Canis lupus familiaris: one gene and its partners. The protein of the gene in region 3 interacts with the protein of the main gene of each other region in a biochemical or structural test. Links are inferred from orthologs where the notes say so. Each region holds a gene or a part of one and is shown on either strand. Other genes may lie near its edges. The genes, in order: COPS5, SKI, SMAD4 and TFE3.

Region 1 (5,010 bases), on a different chromosome or scaffold from region 3:
AAAAAAAATTTTTTTTTATTGAGATATAATTGATGTATAACATTGTATTAGTTCAGGTGTACATCATGAATCACTATATGTATGTACTGCAAAATGATCATTATAAAAAACGTAGTTAACATCCATCACCACACATTTGGTACAACTTTTTTTCTCTTATGATGAAAACTTTTAAGATCTATTCTCTTGAGTATGGGAATTTATTTAAAAATATCCATGCTAACCTCTTACACATTTTACATAGACACTGTTGAAAATAAAATATAAACCTTATGTAACGAGGATAGTTTAAGTTTAGAAACTCAAGAGTCTCCATGAGACTCTTAGAATTACTGAACTTTAAGCAACATTTTTACCTGTTTGGCGTTTTCGATATACGCAGCCATGTACTCATATGCAGCAGCCTGAGCATTTACTCGGGTTTCAGTGCCCTCTACAGGCAAAGCAAAACTGTCCATAATGATCATGGTTTCACCGTCCACCTTTCCCAGCATTAAGCCCATCACTTCCAGGTTGCCTCCTGATCTGGCATGCATCACCATTTTCAGTAGAGCCAATGCTGAGATTTTGCAGTACTTAAAATAATGGTGACTACAAAACAAAAGTACAGCACAATTAACTTATATAAAACACAATTTCAAAGATAGTTTTTGTAAAGAAAACAAGTATTGAAGGAACTTACAGTGATGGGAAAGGGGAAAGAGTGTAGAAATGTGGGAAAGAAAAGGGAAGTAGAGTTCTTGCAGGGGGCTGGAAATGAAAAACATGTTGGGTCCTGCAAAGTATTTCTTTAGGGGAAAAGTATGAAATAGTTTTTTAAAATATGCTGTTTTAAATATGCTGTTCAAGTAGAAAGGAATTACATAGAATTCAATAGACTTTTTCTCCATTAATTTTGGAATCACCAAATCTCTGATTCTGAGTCTAGTTGGATGGTTGTGCCTAAAGATTCTCAGGCCTAACTTTCTGGCCTGACATCCAAATGTGGGCTCTGACATCCATCTGATTAAGTTTGAGTCTTTGCCCTGCCATGCTAGCTGTTGCCTAGAGACAATCACCGCATGCCCACGCCTTAGTTTCCTCATCTGTAAATAGGAATAGGTCACAGATTTGTTGTTAGGAAGAAATAAAGTGAAATAATTTACATAAATGCTTATCTTACTACCTCACACATACCAAAACTTAATATTAAGTGCTAGCTGTTATTAGCCTTAACCCATCTTTTATAGTACTCTCAAAAAAGTGTGTTGTTTCTTTCTGTGTTATCAGCCTCAAAATGAAAAAAGTAGCTCTAATATCTTTAGTTCTGTTTTGATCACTATTTAAAAGTTTGTCATATGTATATGTGACTAAACTACTCTTGAATAAAATTACATTTTCCGTTTCACTGATGCAGCTCAAGATCGCTGGGATGAACATAATCAGAGCCGCAATCAGACAATAAGGCACACGGATAGTTTTCAAATATTTGGTAGTCTATAGTATAGCAACCTTAAATGCATAGCCTGTTATAGAGTTAAGCAAACTGTCTTTAATAATATGGTCAATGTGTTTAAGAAGCCCCCCTCCCCTACTTTTTTTTCCTTCTTCTTTCCTGAGAAGCCTTTTTAAGATGTCTGCCCACAGATTTCAATCACAACTGAAAAATATGGAGACCTGGTCTTGGGAGTCAAGACATGAATTAATCTTGGGTCTTTATTCACTGGGGAAAAGAAAAAAAAAGTTATTGTGCTCTTATTACATACATTGTAGACCCTTTTTAATGCATTATCTCATCTAATCTTTATGAAATCACCAATGGGTGGGTCTAATTTTCTTTTTACAGGTAAAAAATGAAGATACATAAATTTTCTAGGGCCAGTCAACGAACTAGGGACACTTGTGAGGTTTGAATTTTAGTCTATTATTCACTTAAGAGTTCACTGCCTCAGTCTGATCATGAAGTAAGTTACTCGTATTTGCTTATTTTCTTATTTCCAAAAAAGGAATGAAAATACAGTACTGGGTTGTCATGTAGACTAAATAATATATTATAGAAATTCCTAAGCTCAGTGCTCAGCCCATATTAAATACTCGATAAACATGGAAGAATGTTTTGTTGTTGATCACTGCTGTCCTTTCTATCTCTCCATTTGAAGACTGCTCTTTTTACTCTCCCTTAACACTAAGGGTAAATGCTGTGGGTAGAGTCCTTCACTTGTCATCATTCCCAGAGACACAGGGCATTTGCTAAGGGGCAAACAGCTTTAAACTCTATTGATAAAATTTCTAGTTCATGTTAACTGGTGGACTAACGTTTTGGGAGCCTGGGTGGAGCCTCCTTGTATCTGAAATAGTTACCAGCAATCAACAATCGATTTATAAATGTCTAAAAGATGGCTTATAGTTAGAGACGCCAGGGCTGACTTGGCTTTTGAAGATGGGTGCAGTCTCCAGTCTCAGATAAGCTAGAGGTCTCAACAAGGTGTATATCAACACAAGGCTTAAGGCAGAGTGTGTGGCATATATATGACAATATAGATATTGAGAAATGAGAAATTATAATCGTTTGTCCTTTACCCTTACATCCCCTGGAGGCAAACGGGTTAAAGAGACAAGAAGGGGAATCGAAGCAAGACCCAGGAGAAGGGCTTTGACTCTACTTGCGGAGAAAAAGGTGGACCCAAATTTCCCGGGTGCATATTCTTCTCCCTGTCCATGAAAACACTAGCTTCCCACCCTCTGCAACTCCCACTCCCCTGGGTGTCCTAAACTCCCGCCACCCCTCCCATCCCCTGCGTCTCGCCAGGGACCTCCTCACTCCTTAGTCCAGGGCTTCGCCGCCAGTATTTCTTGCTGCTGTTTCTTGTCGTATTTGTAGATTTCATCGATACTCTGGGCTTCCTGCATGTTGTTGGCCAATTCCCAGGTTTTCTGAGCCATACCACTCCCGGACGCCGCCATCGCCGTGGAATCCGAGAAGCTGTCGCCTCCACGACCAAGACGCAACTTTACTCGGCTAGGTTCCTGGGTGTGGGCTTCGGACCCTTCCCACCACAGGTGCAAACTCGTACTAATCTCTCGAGGCAGCCATGACACCCAGAACCGGAGGTGAAGTCAGTACAGACCATTCGGGGATGGCGGGAGCGCTTCCGGGACGCCACGATACAAACAGCGGTTACATAATAGAGACAGAGGAATCCTCCTGTGGCTGAAACGAGAACATATTATCTTAGAAAATTATATGCGCGCATTAGGACAAACACAATGACGGAGCGTGAGAATGGTATAGCCTTCCGCACCGGAAGAAGGGCACGGCAACGTTATGCCAGAAACGAACGGGTCCTCTTTGTTCGCACTGCGCAGGCGCGGCCTCGGCCATATTAAAAGTGGGTTAGCTCTTTAGGCTGTGTTGGGGGAAAAAAAAAGACCTGTTTTCGTGTGGGTGTGTGGGTACCTTAAACAAAATGTTTGTTGAAAGCCTACAAAAATAAGGATGTCTGTGAAAAACTTGAGACATAAGCAGTTTTGGATGCTGGTTGAGACGAAGATACACCTGGCATCCCAGTTTACTTCCAGATGAGTCACTGCACATGCGTAAAGTTCAAAGGACCCTTGGTTGGGCTCTAAGGGTCTCTTAAGAGAGCAGTTCTCCGGCATTTCAAGAAAGCTGTGGAGACTCGTGGAAGGCTACGACAGGGTCTTTTGTCGTGTTTGTAAAAATTAACATCTGTATGAGCTCTTAGTGTTTTGAAAAGATCAGTACCCAGTTCTTAACAATTCGTTTAAGGTGTGAGACCACTTCCTATCCCCGAGGCCAAATTAATCTCAGCAACTTTTTTTTTCCCCCAACAGTTAATGCAGTGTTTAATTATTTCACTTATTTGCTTGCTTGCTTCATCTTTAATCATCCTGAAACTTTGCATATGTGGTCAGCCTTGCTTGAAATACTCTCCCCTGGCGGTTGTGTTGTCTTGTTTTTTGCCTGGGAGCTCAAATTCATCTTCAAAAACAGCTCAGGGATCTCTACCATGAAATGTTGACTTTTTCCGCTCTCCAGTAATGATTCCTTTTAGATGTCTCTAAACGTCTGTAGGTGCTTCTAGAACTGTTACGTTGCATTGTAATAATGTATTTATTTGGATTTTTTTCTTTTCACTAAAAGCTTAAGAGTTCAGGACGCGGCTCTGGGTTGTGTCCTCCACTCCTAGTACGGTACGTGCCAAATAGTTAAAAACATTAGAATTATTGAATCCACATCCCTGCCTGCAGTTTCGACATTAACTTCCATTTGAAGAAAATTTGTTTTTAAAACCCTCTTACAAAGTAACTTAGGACAAAGGATTCTTAGTTCCCCTCTGCTGGAAAGCTAGAGATCTCTTTTCTCGTGTGGCACATGGCCGTTCAGTATTGGGGGGAACCGAACATGTTGAAATTAGTAATAAAAAGGGGAATCCTGGGTGGCTCAGTGATTTAGCGCCTGCCTTCGGCCTGGGGCGTAATCCTGGAGTCCCGGGATCGAGTCCCACGTCGGGCTCCCTGCATGGAGCCTGCTTCTCCCTCTGCCTGTGTCTCTGCCTCTCTCTCTGTGTCTGTCATGAATAAATAAATAAAATCTTTAAAAAAAAAAATAAAAACCCCCAGGACAAAACATTGATGACCAGACTCCAGGAAGAGGAGAAATACGCAGGGGAGGTGTGCAAACATTTTTTCCCTGTCACCCCTATCTTTTTTTTTCCACGGCGGCTGCGGCTAGCAATGCGGCTAGGAAGGTCTAGAGGGGCTAGAATCGATTTAGCTTGGAAAGAATTTCTCATGGTTTAACAGCTCCCACTACAGACCAGAGGCACCAGGCAAAGGGCCAGATACACCCAGCCTACGTGTAGGCGAGCCTGCTGTGCGGCCTCCGGGGCGAGAGGGGGCGCTCCGACTGCGCGACGGTACCCCGGCGGCCGTCGTGGGGGCGGGGCCGCATTCGCCGTTGGGAAGGGCGGGAGGAGGGCTCGGCTTAAGAGGCGGAGCCGGGGCCGC
Region 2 (4,913 bases), on a different chromosome or scaffold from region 3:
AGGACACGAGGTGGCAGAGCCAGCAGGAGAGCACTCGAGACCTCAGGGAAGCATGGGGCCTGACAGCCAGTCCAGGTCACCACGGCGAGGACAGGGCTGGCTGACACTAGGCCTGCAGACCCCACCCACTTACGATAAGCAGCTCTTCCTCATCACTGGGAAAATTTGTTTAATCGGTAAATGAGATTTAGGACAGCATCAGGGAGAGCGCACTGACAGAGAAAGGGCGGCCCTAATCATCTGCTGAAAAGGCCAGAGCAGAAACAGGCTCTGGCTTCGGCTTCACGGAGTGTGGGCAAACAATCCTGCCTTCTCCCCAGACGCTGTTTGGGCCTGAGAGCTCAGGCTGGGCCGTCCCTAAGAGGGGCGGGCGGGCAGGGGGGTGGGGGGGGGGCCGCGCCCAGAACCACGGCCCCACTCTACAGCTGTGACAAAGAAGCAGTCCCAGCGAGCCCAGGAGACTCCACCACTGCCCCTCACACCCCTGACTGGGACACCCATACGAACACACCCTGCCAGACAAGGCCCCCCACCCCACCCCCTCTGGAGGCAAATGGCCTGCCATGGCCTGGGCCAGGAACTGCAGCCTGTGCCTACCACAATCCTGCACACAAGACTCCCACAAGCCACAGTGGCTGTGGTAGGTAGAGGCACCCCGAACAGAAAAGTCCCCATTCACGTCGGGTGCCCATCACGCCACCCATCACCAACTCATCCAAAATCAAAGGCTTGGGCCTTTCCTGCCAATACCCTCCCCTACTCAGACACTCCCTCCCACCCAAGCCCTGCCCCAGTCTGCAGACAGCTGCCACCTGGGCAGCGGCAAAGCTGAGGGCAGAAATGCCATGGAACACACGTGCACGCGCGCACACGACAGCCCCTCTGAGCACAGGCACCCAGCCCCTCCATCCCCAGCCCCTCCTCTGCTCACCGAGACTCTGACACTCCGCTGGAGGGGCGCCCAGAGAAAACCGGGCGGGAGCATCTATTCACAGATTTAGAAAAAAAAAAAAAGTTTGATGCAGTAGTTGAATTAATTAGGCCTCCTCAGAATAGCTGAGCCAATGCAGCATTCTGTGTATGCAATTTAATAAGCCTGGATATTTAAAAGAAAAGTTACAAATACTTGGGGAGGGGAAGACACCGAGAAGTTGGTGAAGACCCCAATGAGAGGTTTCACCGTCCAGTCGCCCAGGAGCTGCCCAGCCAGATCACACGGATCACATCCTCCGCCTGGCAAACAACAGAGCCTCGGCCAGTGGCCCTCCCCCGCCCTGCAGCATTTGAGAGAGAGGGAGACAAGGAAACGGGCGTGTCCAAAACAAATCGCAGGCCACGAGCTACTCCTACTCAGGGCCCAGGTGCCCGCTGACCAGGCCCCAAGCCCAGGGCCAATCAGCCCTTGCCCCCACATGGGGGACTCTGGGATTCACACCCTGGCAGGCCCAGGGAAACGCACAGAACTGGAGTCACCGAGTCTCGGCCCCCTGCCACTGTGGCCTGGACACCTGGCTGCATTTCTGAGCCTGTCTCCCAAGACTTCAAGGCACAAACCGGCCCTGCCAGGCCCAGTTCTGTCTGCTGAGGACCACTGGCAGGCACCCTTCTGTGTGCGAGCCTAGGGGCCCACCGGGTCTGCACCCCTCCTCACAGTGGCCCGAGGAAGGCCTAGGCCTGAGGCTGCAGCCTGGGCCCGCCCGGATCTCACTTCTCAGTTCTCTGGGGGCAAGAGTGTCTGAGTATTGGAGCCGAGCCTCCCGCCATTCCTAAGCCCATCAGGGCAATGGCTGTGGGCCTTGGGAATGCTTCTCCAGCCACCAGGCCGAACCCCTAGGGCCCCTGTCCCAAGCAAGCTGGCTCATCACAGGGGTCGAGCAAAAGGACCTTCCTACACAGCCACGACTAGGGAGGGACCCAACACAACCCTGAACTTCCTTAAATCAAATCCAAACCCCAAGACAAGCCCCAAGCTGCACACACAGAGCCCCTGGCCCAGGAGGGCCCCCCAGCCTTTCCCCAGGACCCAGCCCTCCCAGCTTCCAGGCCCTGGGGCCCAGAGCACCCAGCGTCCTCCCATGGCCCCAGCCAGCAGGGTCACTCACCCGGGGCACCCGCCGCTTGTACTTGTTGCCATAGTCAAACTTCTCCTTCACGTCGTCCAGGCAGCGGCCAAGGCGTGCCTGCTCCTCCTTGCCCGTGTAGTCCTGGCTCAGCAGGATGTACGCCCGCCAGTTGGCCGAGTCGAATCCCCAGTGGCAGGTCCGGTTCTCCAGCGCCTTGTGCGAGTGCACGACGAACTTGTGCGGGGGGTACATGAGGCGGCAGTCGAGGCACTGGATGCATGCGGCACTCGGGCTGCTGTAGAGCTCGGGCACCAGCAGCCCCTTGCACTTGCCGAAGCACTCGTGGTACACACGCACGCTGCGCTCGCTGAGCTCCAGGCCCAGCGCCAGACTGGCGGCCAGCTCCTTCTTGCAGGGCGGCGGGTAGGCGCCGCCGTATAGCAGCGCGTTGCACAGGCGCTCGGCGTCCGTCTTGGTGATGAGCCCGCACGAGGGCGCCGAGAAGGGCAGGATGCCCATGACTTTGAGGATCTCCAACTGGTCCGCCGTGCAGCGCGAGCAATAGATGTGCAGCTCGTCGCACACCGAGTTGATCTGCTGCAGCGAGAAGTCGCGCAGCACCGAGTTGAGGATCTGCGGCAGGCACAGGCGCTTCTCGCCGCCCACCACGAAGCACGAGATGGTCTCGCCCTCCAGCACGGTCTCGCAGCGCTCAGTGGAGCGGTCGGACGGCATGAAGAAGGGCCCGGGGAGCACGGGCGGCGGCGGCTGGATGGCTGGCAGGTGCAGCACGGGCGGCGGCTCGGCGGCCGCGGGGACCGGCGCCGGAACGGCAGCCGCGCTGGCCTCCTTGGCGCTCTCCTTCTTGTAGGCCTCCTGCGCCCAGCGCGCCGAGAAGGCGGCCGGGCCGCCCAGCGAGCTCATAGAGCTCAGGTGGAACTGCTCCAGCGTCTTCTGCAGCCCCGGGTGCGGCTGGAAGCCGCCGCGGCCGCCCGCCGCCGCCTCCATGGTGCGCTCCGGCTCCCCGGGCCGCTCCCGCTCCCGCGCGCCGGGGCCCCCGCGGCCCCCGCCGCCGCCCCGCGAGCCCCGGCGGCGCCCCCGGCCCCGGCCCCGGCCCCCCCCCGCCGCCGCCGCCGCCGCCGCCGCCGGCTCCCGGCCGATCACGGCCGAGGCCTCGGCCTCGCCCGGGGGCGCGAAGGGGTAGGCGGGCGGGGCGAAGGGGTCCCGCCGCTGGAGCCCGCCGGCGCCCGGGCCCGGCGCCACATCCACGCGCCCCGCGCCGCGCCCGCCGCCGCCGCCGCCGCCCGGGCCCCCCGCGCGCCCCCCGCGCGCCCCCCGGGCCCTAGGCGCGGGGCATGCCCCTGCGCGCGCCGCCAACGCCAACGCCAACGCTCGCGGGCCCGGGGCTCGCGGGGGGCGCGCGGGCAGGTGCCGGCGCCGCGAGGCGCGAATCGCCGCGGCGGCCGAGGCCGAGGGGCCCGGGAGGAGCGGGGGCGCGGGCGCGGGGCCCGCCGGGCCGTCCTCGCGCGGCGCGCCGCCGCCGCCCCGCTCCTCCCACCGCGCGGCGCCCGCCCGGCTCGTCCCGGCGGCGCTGGCCGGCCGCGTCGCGCCCGCCGCCGGCCGCCCCGGCCCGGCCCGCGCCCACCCCGCCGCCGGCGCCCGGCTCCGCGGCCCGCCCGCCCGCCTGCGCGCGGCTTCCGGGGCGGCGGGAGCGCCTGTGGCGGCGGCCCTCAGAGCGCGGCGGCGGCGGCAGCGGCGGCGGCGGCGGCGGCGGCGGCGGCGGCGGAGGCGCGGGGCTCGGCGCACATCCTCCCGGCGGCTCGCTCCGGCTCGGACTGAGCGCGGAGCGCTGAGCTCACGCCGCCGCCCCGCCCCGCGCCGCCCCGCCCCGCCCCGCGCCGCCGCCCCGCCCCTCGCGCCGTCTGGAGCCGCGCGTCCGCCTCAGCCGAGCGCCGGCCAGGAATGCGACCGCCTCCCGGCCTGGCTCTTCCAAGAACGCGCGCTTCCCCCTCCCCCGCCGCCGCCCCGCCCGCGGCTCGGGCCGACTCGGCCGCCTTCGGGCCGGCCCGCCAGGAACTCGGCTCCGCTCGGCCGCGATTCGGCTCCGCTCGGCCCCGCCCGCCCGGGACTCGGCCCCGCTCGGCCCCGCTCGGCGCCGCTCGGCCCCGCTCGGCCCCGCTCGGCCCCGCTCGGCGCCGCTCGGCCCCGCTCGGCGCTGCTCGGCCCCGCCCGCCGGAAGGGCGCTCGGCGGGGGCAGTGGCGGCGCCCGGGGCCCCCCCTTCCGGCCGAGGCCGCTTCCTGCGCGGCTGGGAAGGCGCCCGTGCTGCCGCCGCCGCCGTCGCCGCCGTCACCGCTGCCGGGCCCAGAAACCCACACGCGGCCCCCGCCACAACCGCAGACCCGCGGAGGGGCGGGCAGGACGGCGGCCTGCGCGGCCTCCACCGCACACCTCGCGGATCCGGCAGGACGGGGACCCCACATAGCGCGCGACCCGGGCCTCCTGGAAGGACGAGGACGCCAGTGGGTTCCCACGCGTTAGGACTGACCCTCCCGGGAGCACCCCGCGCAAGCAGACACGATGCACCGTGTCCCAGGGCTCCCCCGCACGTGCAGGCCCCACACGGCCTCCACCCCACGACCCTGCTCCCAGATCCGGCACCCGGGTCCCCGCACACGGATCCTGCACCCTGGTCCCCGAATCCCACCACCCTGCACCTGGGTCCCCACACACAGATCCTGCACCTGGGTCCCCGCACACGGTGTCCCACTGCAGGACTTCTTGCAGCTCAGGGCAGGGCCTTGGTGCCTGAGCTACACAGCTTCAGTCACTGCCACGGCCAAAGGTGGGGA
Region 3 (4,928 bases):
ACTGAAAGTTACTCAAATATCTACACATATTTATCAACTGTTTGAATTTCTTTTTAAAACAACCAAATCTTCATCAACTGTTGAGTAAAAAGCCCAAAATTTGGTAGTTTAACAGTTATATTATATTCTGTGTTACGCTGATCCAAGTCCTTTAACTTTCATTTAGTGTAGAAAATAATGAAATCAACGGAACTGTTTTAGTTGTTAGTTTTACACATGATTAAGCATCAATTCAGAGTCAACATTTCATCATCGCTTAAGCAAAACAAAAATTTCTGCCTAACCACACAATCTTCTAGAAAAAAAGGAAATCAAAACATGTACAATGAGCACCGAAACGGCCAACATAAGATGTTTAAAGCCTTGTTTACTATCAAAATCACTGGATGGAAGATGGGAAAAAGTTAGGCATGAGCTAGAGGGGAACAATATAGAACTGAAATAACTTTAAACATAAAAAAAGGTACTCAACAAAATAGGCAAAATTTTAGACAGGACTAAAAATGCGTTTTAAATGAACGGGACAGATCCTGCAGGGTTAAGAGCCCTAGTAGAGGCCACAGCAATTCACAGCTCAATTAGGATAGTGTCTAATGACGTTATAACACCAGCTCAATCAGAAAAAAACAGCTTCCAAGCCAGAGGGCTGGAGTGTGACTGGGCAGCATAAATTAGTTTAATGCTTTTTTCTCTTTAATATGGGGGGGGGGGGGTGTCTAAAGGGGAATGCAGAAAAACAATTCAGACACAAATAAACAGCTCAACCAAAATGTAGCCTCAGAATAAAACATACATAGGTTTTTAGAAGATTTGCTGCTTCGTAGTGTAAGCAGCATTGCTTCAAGCAGCAAAGCCATTAGAAAAGGCCAATGATCCATGTAAAAATTTCAAATTCACCTTCTCAGCCCAAATTTCCATCAAATCTCAAACTGACGTGCAATTCTTTTCTAAGCTCGAGATTTACAAGGCGGGCACTCAGCTAAACAGAGAAGCTTCCACTCAGGCCCTCCTACTCGGAAAATCAAAGAATTAAGAAGATGCAGTGCCTCTTCAAGCAACCTCACCCAAAAACCTGGAAAGCAAAGAAAAAGCCACTTCTATTAACAGACCCACGAAAGGTTCTATCCATTTTCTCTAGAAAGGCTCTTAGGTTTAATTCCGACAACTTAAACCTACACAATTCATCACCCCCTTTAGACCCCAAAACCCTGCGAGTCCTGTTGGTTCTGGTAACAAACCCGTTTAGGGAAACAAAGTCACAGCTCATGAAACAGCAGCAGGACGTCATATTTTAAGAGGTCAATCACATCATTTACAACTTGAAATGTCACATACTCGGCATATCAGAACTTTTCAGAAGAAAAAATAAGAAGTCCTTAACGGAAAAGTCCTCACGCCTCGGAGGCTCAGAGGCTCGCGGGCAACACGGCGCAGGTGCAGGAAGGCAGGCGCGGGCACCGCGGCCCACCCACCCAGCTGCGTCCTAAATCCCGTTACTTTTTCAAAGCGTGGATTTCCTTATTTCCTCTTAAGACTCCACGGTCTGTTCCAACAAAAACTACTCAACCTACTTTTTTAAGATCCACAGAGACTGCTGCTGAGACTCAAGGGGCGCTCCCTGAGAAGACTAGAGTGCTCCCTGCGAAGACTAGGGTGCTCCCTGCAAAGACTAGAGTGCTCCTTGCGGGGACTCAAGGGGGTGCTCCCCACGGAGACTCAAGAGGACACTCCCTGCAGGGACTCAAGGGGGTGCTCCCTGCGGGGACTCAAGGGGGCGCTCCCCACGGGGACTCAAGAGGACACTCAAGGAGGTGCTCCTCGCGGGGACTCAAGGGGGTGCTCCCTGCGAAGACTAGGGTGCTCCCTGTGGAGACTCAAGAGGACACTCCCTGCAGGGACCCAAGGGGGTGCTCCCTGCAGGGACTCAAAGGGGTGTTCCCTGCGGCAGGTCGGGGCCCCTACCGAGCCTCTGCACCCCAGCTCCTCCGCACCCTGGCTCGCGGTCAGGAGATGCCCAGGAGCCCGCTGCGCCGCGTCCACGACCCCGAAGGGCCCTCAGCCCCACCTCAGAGTACAGCGCAAAAGGCACCAAGGAACTGGGTCCAAAGTGAATTCATCGGAAATAAAATGTGTTCGTGAAAAAGAATCTTTCACCAGGGCTTTGGGGGGGGGGGGGGGAGGTGCTGCGCATCACCACCAGCAGAGCCGTCGGACACCTCTCCAGGCCCCCAAAGCCACCTTTCAAGTTAACCCAACACGCCCATTTCTTTGAAAAATCTTCCCTGAGAAATGATAACCTCAGTTTTGGGGGCAAGTGATGGAGCCACCGCCCTCCGTCCTAGAGCCTCGCGCCCAGCGCTCGCAGTCCCAGCAGCGGGAGAAACTGGGTCCTTGGGTTTTCATTGGGAGTGGGGTGGGGTGGGGTGGGGTGGGGTGGGGTGGGGGGCGGCCGGGAGCTGATTAGGGGAAGGATTGAGGGGTGGAGGGGTGGAAGGGTGGGGGGTGGAGGGATGGGGGGGTGAGAGGTGGAGTGGAGGGGCGGGGTGGAGAGGTGGAGGGATGGAGGCTGGGGGGGCGGCCGGGTGCTCATCAGGAGAGGGGGGAGGGATGGAGGGGTGCGGGGGAGGGGCGCGCGCAGGTCAGCGGGAGGGCTCCCCCCCGCCGCCCGCCCGCTCCCGAGCCGCGAGAGCGCCCAGCGCAGGCCGAGGCGAGCGCCGGAGCGGCCCCGGCAGGAAGGGAAAGTGGAGGACAAAGGCGGCACCGACGTGTCCCCGAGACGGGAAACTTCGGGCGCGCTCGGCGGGGGCGGCGGGCGCAAGTCCTCGGAGCAACAAAGACCGACGGCGACGGCAGGGGAGCCGCGGCGGGCGCGGGGGCGCGGAGGCGCGGGGGCGCTGGGCCCGGGACGCGAGGCGCGAGGCCCCCCGCCCCCCGGCCCCCGCCCCGCCCCCCGCGCACACGCACGCGCACGCGCACACGCACGCACCGGCCGCCCGAGCCCGCCCCGGGGCGGGGAAGCCCGGGGGTGGGGGGGCGCGGGCCCGGCCGGGGAAGGGGAGGGCACGGGGCCGTTACCTGGGCTCCGCCGCCGCCGCCGCCGCCGCCGCCGCCGCCGCCGCCGCCGCCGCCGCCGCCGCCGCCGCCGCCGCCGCCGCCGCCGCCGCCCGTCCGCGGGCCACCGCTCCCCCCGCGCCCCCGCCCCTCCTCGCCGCCGCCGCCGCCGCCGCCCGCCGGCCGCCTCGAGCTCCCGGGCCGCCCCGCGGGGGGGGCCCTCGGTCGCGGGGCGCCCGGCTCCCCTAGCCGCTCCCGCCGCCGGGCGGCCGCGCCGCTGAAGGACCGGCGGGCAAGGCCTCCCGAGGACGGCGCGCGGGCGCCAACGCGGGCCCCGCCACCCGAGCCGCTCCGCTAGCGCAGCGGCGACGACGACCAGGGCCGTGTTGTTGCTGCCAACTTGTCGGGAGGCCACGGAGCATGCGCGCACGGCGACCACATCCGGGTAACTGCAGGCCTCGGCCCGTGCCCCCGCAGCTCCCTCTCCCGCGGCCCCGCCCCCCGCGGAGCGCCGGCGGGGGGGTTGTGCGCAGGCGCGGGGCGCAGGCGCGATGCGCGGCCCGGCGGCGGGCGGCCCCGAGGGCGGACACCTGCCGGGCCCCCTCCCGGCTCCGCGGCGCGCGGACCGGCAGCCCGTGCGGGAGTGTGGCCGCGGGTCACGGAGGCCAGTGGACGGGGCTCGGGGGACACTGCGATGGGGGCGGCGCTCAAGGACCTGCCGCGCACCTGTTGAGGCCACCTGTGGGGCGAAACTCGGCTTCGCAGTGCATACCTACTTATCTCAACTTTTCCAAGATGCGCGCATTTCTTTTATTTTTAAAAGTTTCAGAAAACACGTACGAGTTGCATACTTTCGAATTTTTGTTTTATTTTTTACCACCTAGAAAAAACTTCCCCTGCCGGGGGTGGGGAGCCCGACGCAAGCTAGTGGCGAGGAAGCGCTCAGACCCTCCGTACGCCCGTCCCCGCGCCGGCCCCGCCCGCTGTCCCCACGGCGTCCCGGCCCCGCCCCCGCCCCGCCCCCGCCCCGCCCCCCCGTCCCTGCTCTCCACCCCCGTCCCCGCCCCCGTCCCCGTCCCCTCCCTGCTGTCCTCGCCCCGCTGTCCCCGCCCGTTCCCAAGCTGTCCTGCCTGGCTGTCCCCACGGTGTCCCCCCCTGCTATCCCCTCGGCATCCCGCCCGTTCCCGAGCTGCCCCCCCCCCCCGCACCACGGCAACCCGCACTCCTGCGTGTCCCGCCGCCGTCGTCTCCCGTGTTCCCTGCTCCTGGGTCCAGGAAGACTTTCCAAGACTAGTTTTAAGGGAATTCACTTAGAGAGCTCCCGTTGCTAGTGCACTACTTAACACAATGGCTCAGCTTGAGAAGTCACCTGAGGACAGAGCATCCTCTTCCAAAACTGTCATTCTCCCATCTGTCGGAATAAAGTGACATTCTCATGCAGGTGCATCAACTCAAGATGTATTTATTTACTTTTTTATTTTAGAGTAAGAGGGAATGTGGGGATGGGAGGGGAAGCAGAGGGAGAGAGAGAGAGAGAAGCCCAAGCGGACGACGTGTTGAGTGTGGGACCCGATGCGGGGCTCGACCCCACAACCCTGAGATGGTGACCTTAGCTGAAATCCAGTCGCGCGGGCACCCCGACTCCAGATGTAAAACCCCCAGGACAATTCAGAGGGACAATTCAAAAACTGGCGTCTGATGAAAGAGCGAGTGACCTGAATGAACGGGTTATAAATTCTTTGTGAGTCAGGTGGTTCCCAGTTCTTTGCTATCAGCAAAACTGAAGGAAGGTTTAACTGGGTGGTCGGGTACCAGAGCAGCAGGTGGCTCCTAAGTTCCTACTTCTACCTCAGACGGAGTTAAAAGTAACATGGCTC
Region 4 (4,988 bases), on a different chromosome or scaffold from region 3:
AGGGGAGTTCTGGTTCAAGAGAATGGAATCCCAGCTTGGCCACCTGCTTTCTCGTTTGACATGTTCTTTCTGGCCCCTCACTTTACTATCTGGAAAATGTAGGCTGGCAGAAGAGTTGGCCTGTCACTGAGGGCCTCTGCCCGTCAGGAAGGAATGGAGGGGCCTGAGGAATTGGGAGTGGAGTCAGAAGAGACAGACCTTGAGCGTAGTGGTAGTGGTTGGCTTTTGAGCTCGTAGAAGCTGTCAGGATCAAGAACGCTTTCTAATTCGATGTCAGCAACGATCCCAGATTCCGGAAGCAAAGAGTTGAGGCTGAGGGTGGAAGGGAGGTAAGGGTGATGGTCAGTTAAGTATATGGAGACTGCACTCCCCTCTAAGAGAGAAAGAACAAGTGGGCAGTGGGAGGAGAGAGATACACACAGGGGTGGGAGGGGATAACACAGAGTGCATCCCTCCCAGGAGGTGACCCTGCTGGGTACCACCACCAGGACTTCCCAGATCTTCCCTGCCCATACTCCTCTTCCCTCCCCACTCTCTTTTGCTCTGTTATCCAAAGTCCCTTAGGATTCAAAATAGTAAGAGTGCCCAGATCCCAACTCCTCACTCTCACATAATCATGTTAACAACCTAGGTTTGAGGGAAAACAGAAATGAAGAATTCAGGAATGACAATTCACTTTGCAGGAGTCCTGACTTTGCATTCAGAGTTCTTCCAGCCCCCACACCCCCTACTGGGGTCCTGGCAGCTGAATGTGAGCCCCCATTTGTCTACACATAGCAGGGTAGGGGCAATCTTCAGCACAGCAGTCTATTGTAACACAAACTGAATGCATCACAAAGAACTGGGGTCGATGATTCACTTGACGGAAGGATCCACGACTTTGCAAATTAGCCCCCCCACCCTGCCCCCCACCTCGCCCCAGCCAGAGTTGAGGGTATGCCTGTACACACCCAAATACAAAATGGAAATATCAAGGGCTCCCCTTATTCCAGCAAATTGGATTTAAAAGAGGGAGAATTTGGGTGGATGATCCGCTTATACAAGCATTCTTTTCTTGGCGGGAGGAGCCTGTCCAGCATTCAGCTGTTTTTTTGGATGGAACAACACACACACACACACACACACACACCTCTAATACCAACACCCATTGACATGAAATAAGAACCCATGTACACCCCTCCCTTTCAACTATTTCCACTACTGTGATGAGCCAGGTTGTTATGAAGGCATCAGAAGATGGGGAAGCATTAGATGCAAAGGCTCCTGCTCAGCCCTCCAGGCTGGGGGCATTCACACACACGTGGATGGATATGCATCCTGAATTGAGTCAAAGACTGAATCCTGAGTGACTATGGGTCACTTGGCTTGACAAGAACTCTCTTCCCTCCCCAACGATCTGTGTCTTCCTTCCTTTCCTCACCCTCAGATGGGGACCTAAAACCACCCAGGAAGTAGGGAAGAGGAAGCTCAGGGAGCCGCTGAGCTCAGCACAACCCCAGGAAGAAAGCAGGCAAAGCCCCAGCTCATGCTTATGCACCCATTGCACAGAAGTTAGAAGAGATGGGCTCTGGGGTGGAAAGGGTGTGGAGAGAGGGCTGGGGCTTACAAGTCGGCTGATGGAAGTGAGGATGGAAAGAGGACCCAGAGGACCCACCCAGGCAGGGATGGTGCAATTGGTGCTCATTCCAGCTCCAGAGACAGCTTGGAGAGTATTTCCAGGGTCTGACAGACAGACTGGGAGGGGGAGAAAAAGAATACGCGTGCATACACGCGCGCACGGGTGTGCGTGTACACGTGTGTGCATGCGCGCAGGGGTAGAACCTGGCTGGCTGAGAGGCTAGGATGGGTGGCAGCAGGAACAAGACCCTCCTCTGGGTTCCCAAATAAGGTCTGAGGCCTTCTCTGAGCTAAGAAGTAGCACCATCTCTTTTGCTTCTGTCTGCCTCACTGTCTCCCATTCAAGCCCCTATGGGGCTGTGGGAAGAGGACTTTTCCACTATCCCTGGGATCTGACCCAGCTGGGTGGGTGGGCAAGGATTAAGTGATTATTCTGGTCAGGTCTTGATGAATGTTGTTTCTCTTCCTCACTCACACACACAAAGCTGGTCCCATGTAACATATCTGAGATAGCCCCAAATACTTCCAGATTCCTGTTATCCCCAAACATAGCCTCAAGCAACCGGCCACTGGGAATCACCCAGCTTCCAAGACAGCACTTCTGTCTCCTAGGACCCCTTCTCTGACACTGAGGGGAAAAGTCCTTCTGATCAGTGCCTCACCTACATAGTACAACCTCAAATTCATCTCCCTCATGCCTGACTCAAGGACCCTAAATTCAGCCTCAGTGCCCCAAGTTCAGTTACCCTAGACTAGGCTCTGGATACAACAGAATCTTCCCCACAAACCCAGTCAAGAGACCCTCAGATCGGAGCCAGCCCTCCCTTAATGCACTTCCATGACTTCTTTAAGCCTCAGTCCAAGCAGGCCACCGCCGGATTCCTTAGGTTCCCCCCCAAGACCGGCGCCCCGACGTCCTCCAAGCCTAGGCCGAGGGCCTCCAATCCCAGTCCTGGGCTCCCGTTGTCCCCCCAGATCAGACCCCCAAGAACCCCAGTCAGCACTACCGGCCCCAGGCAGCCCCGCACCTGAGCAGCTGGGCCGAGTCGGCTGGCCTGCGCTCCTCCAACAGCACGAACACGGCTCGAGGGCCTTCCGCGCTGGCCTCTACGCCGTCCCGAGCTGGCTCGGCTGCATGAGACATGACGCCCGGCCCCGGGCGAGCCCTGCCAGGCCGGTCGGGCCTCGGCCCGGTCCCCCTAACAAAATAAGAGTCCCCCTCCCCCCGCTCGCCACCGCCTCCTCCGCTAAGCCATGGAGCGAGCTCTGCGCGGGCGGGCGGCGTCGGGGCGATGGGATGGGCCGTGAGTCATCCCCCGCCCTGAACAGACCAACACCCCCCAACCTAACCCCGGACGACCGCCCTCCTCCCCCTCGTCCTCTTCTCCCTCCTCCCTGAGCTGGGGAAACTCCACAGGAAGTGACCACACGGAGGACGGACGGCTCGCCGGGCCACCCCTCTGAGTGAGGCGGCCAATCATTGAGGGGTGGCTCGAGGGCCCGCCCTAAGCTACGCCTCCGACGCGGAGGGAAAACTAGATTCGGCCGGCCCTCGTTCCGAGAAGGACGCATTTAGGCCACGCCCCCAGAGCCAGAGGCAAATCAGCGAGAAGTGCTTTGATTAAGCCACGCCCCCTCCTCGCAAACGATCCCTCCGCAAGATTTTTAAGCCGCTCCTTGAGTCCTCTGCGCCTGCGCTCCGATGGCCCGTCAGCGCAGAGGGTCTCCAGGCCGCTCTTCTAGCAGCAGAACCGCGCCCCCTCTTGGCCAATGTTTATAATATCAGCTCCCTATGTTGCGCTGCAGCCTCCATCTAGCCCTGTCTCAGCCAAAATCAAAAGCAGGCCTAGGCAGCTAGGTTCCCTGGAGGTGCGCACCAAAAATCCCGCCCACAAACTAGCCGCCCAGCTGGTCTTCCCGGGAGCACTCCGCCTACTCTGTGTCACCCAGAGCACTTGTTGTACTAGGTCGTCCTGCTCACGTAGTAAGTGCTTAATAAATCCTTGACAGATAGATGAATGAGTGGAAGGATGGAAATTATATCTGGTACCTTCCGTGAATGATTTCTAGAATCATGAAGACCCGGTTTGGATTTGAGGAAGGGATTGCCCCTCTCAGAGCTTCAGCTTTCCTGGCCTGTCAAATGGTGGTGGTGGTGGTGGTGGGTGCCTCATAATACCTGTCTGACAGGGTTATTATGAGGATTAGAGATAATTTATGAAAAGTGCTAGCAGGTGGTTTGGCATACAGTAAGCTCTCCAAAACTTGATTCACACATTTGTGCACTGATTCAACAAATATTTATTGAACTCCTCTGTGTGCCAGATACATGCAAGCTAGCTTGCACACAGCAGAGGATCCCCCACACATACCTTCAGGTGCGTAGTCAGCTCACAGAAAACCTAGACCTACGACCTTACCTTCCTCCTTCTAACATCCCAAAACCCTGCCCAGCAGTTGGACCTCAGGGAACTTCAATGAGGTCTCATTTGTCTTGCACGGTCCTGTATTGACACAGGAAGTTGGCTTGGTAAACATGCACATCCCCACAGGCCCTTGCAGCCCCATTATCCACACAATAAAGAAGATAATTCTTGGGATCCCTGGGTGGGTCAGCGGTTTAGCGCCTGCCTTCGGCCCAGGGCATGATCCTGGAGTCTCAGGATCAAGTCCCACATTGGGCTCCCTGCATGGAGCCTGCATCTCCCTCTGTCTGTGTCTCTGCCTCTCTCTCTCTCTCTCTCTCTCTCTCTCTGTGTCTCTCATGAATGAATAAAATCTTTTAAAAAAGATGATAATTCTTTCCCAAATTAATCCCTTTTTAGATTTATTTATTTATTTCAGGGGGAGAGAGGAGAGAGAGAGAGAGAGAGAGAGAACGCACCAGGGAGGAGGGGCAGAGGGAGAGGGAGAAAGAGTCTCAGCTGGTCCTGGGCCTTGATCTCAGGACTCTGAGATCATGACCTGAGCCCAAACCAAGAGTCTGATGTTTAGCTGACTGCACCACCCAGGTGACTCCACCAAATTAATCTTTTTAAAAAAATCAACACTTTACCAATAAAAATTCCAAAATGGAACTCATAGACCTGATGTTAAAATTCCTATGGTGCCTTAAATATGTGAAAGTATCTAATTTTATAAAAGAGGAAGAAAGGGGGGAGCCATTAACTTACTAGATTCAAAATATATCACAAAGCACTAGTAATTAAAACACCATGATATGGGAGTAGGACTAGAAAATTAGATCTAGGGGATCCCTGGGTGGCTCAGCGGTTTGGCTCCTGCCTTCAGCCCAGGGCATGATCCTGGAGTTCTGGGTTTGAGTCCTGCATTGGGCTCCCTGCATGGAGCCTGCTTCTCCCTCTGCCTGT

What was found.
Region 1: the proteins of SMAD4 (region 3) and COPS5 form a complex in vitro, tested with the Homo sapiens proteins (2 studies listed by BioGRID). The link is inferred for Canis lupus familiaris from reciprocal best matches to the Homo sapiens genes SMAD4 and COPS5.
Region 2: the proteins of SMAD4 (region 3) and SKI form a complex in vitro, tested with the Homo sapiens proteins (3 studies listed by BioGRID and IntAct, with this or other methods). The link is inferred for Canis lupus familiaris from reciprocal best matches to the Homo sapiens genes SMAD4 and SKI.
Region 4: the proteins of SMAD4 (region 3) and TFE3 form a complex in vitro, tested with the Homo sapiens proteins (2 studies listed by BioGRID). The link is inferred for Canis lupus familiaris from reciprocal best matches to the Homo sapiens genes SMAD4 and TFE3.

What each region holds. Positions count from the first base shown.
Region 1 is NC_049250.1:17,045,140-17,050,149, forward strand, and holds the start of COPS5 (COP9 signalosome complex subunit 5), read right to left. Parts: upstream 3,301-5,010; 5' UTR 3,282-3,300; intron 3,276-3,281; exon of another isoform or gene 3,191-3,275; 5' UTR 2,944-3,190; coding exon 2,801-2,943; exon of another isoform or gene 2,793-2,800; intron 592-2,792; coding exon 357-591; intron 1-356. UniProt on the Homo sapiens protein: Probable protease subunit of the COP9 signalosome complex (CSN), a complex involved in various cellular and developmental processes.
Region 2 is NC_049226.1:57,619,327-57,624,239, reverse strand, and holds the start of SKI (ski oncogene), read right to left. Parts: upstream 3,103-4,913; 5' UTR 3,072-3,102; coding exon 2,103-3,071; intron 986-2,102; coding exon 932-985; intron 1-931. UniProt on the Homo sapiens protein: May play a role in terminal differentiation of skeletal muscle cells but not in the determination of cells to the myogenic lineage. Functions as a repressor of TGF-beta signaling.
Region 3 is NC_049222.1:24,038,021-24,042,948, forward strand, and holds the start of SMAD4 (mothers against decapentaplegic homolog 4), read right to left. Parts: upstream 3,120-4,928; 5' UTR 3,076-3,119; intron 1,063-3,075; exon of another isoform or gene 898-1,062; intron 1-897. Other genes in the region: ELAC1 (zinc phosphodiesterase ELAC protein 1), read right to left, coding at 4,518-4,766. UniProt on the Homo sapiens protein: In muscle physiology, plays a central role in the balance between atrophy and hypertrophy. When recruited by MSTN, promotes atrophy response via phosphorylated SMAD2/4.
Region 4 is NC_049260.1:42,394,662-42,399,649, forward strand, and holds the start of TFE3 (transcription factor E3), read right to left. Parts: upstream 2,981-4,988; 5' UTR 2,762-2,980; coding exon 2,646-2,761; intron 313-2,645; coding exon 199-312; intron 1-198. UniProt on the Homo sapiens protein: Transcription factor that acts as a master regulator of lysosomal biogenesis and immune response.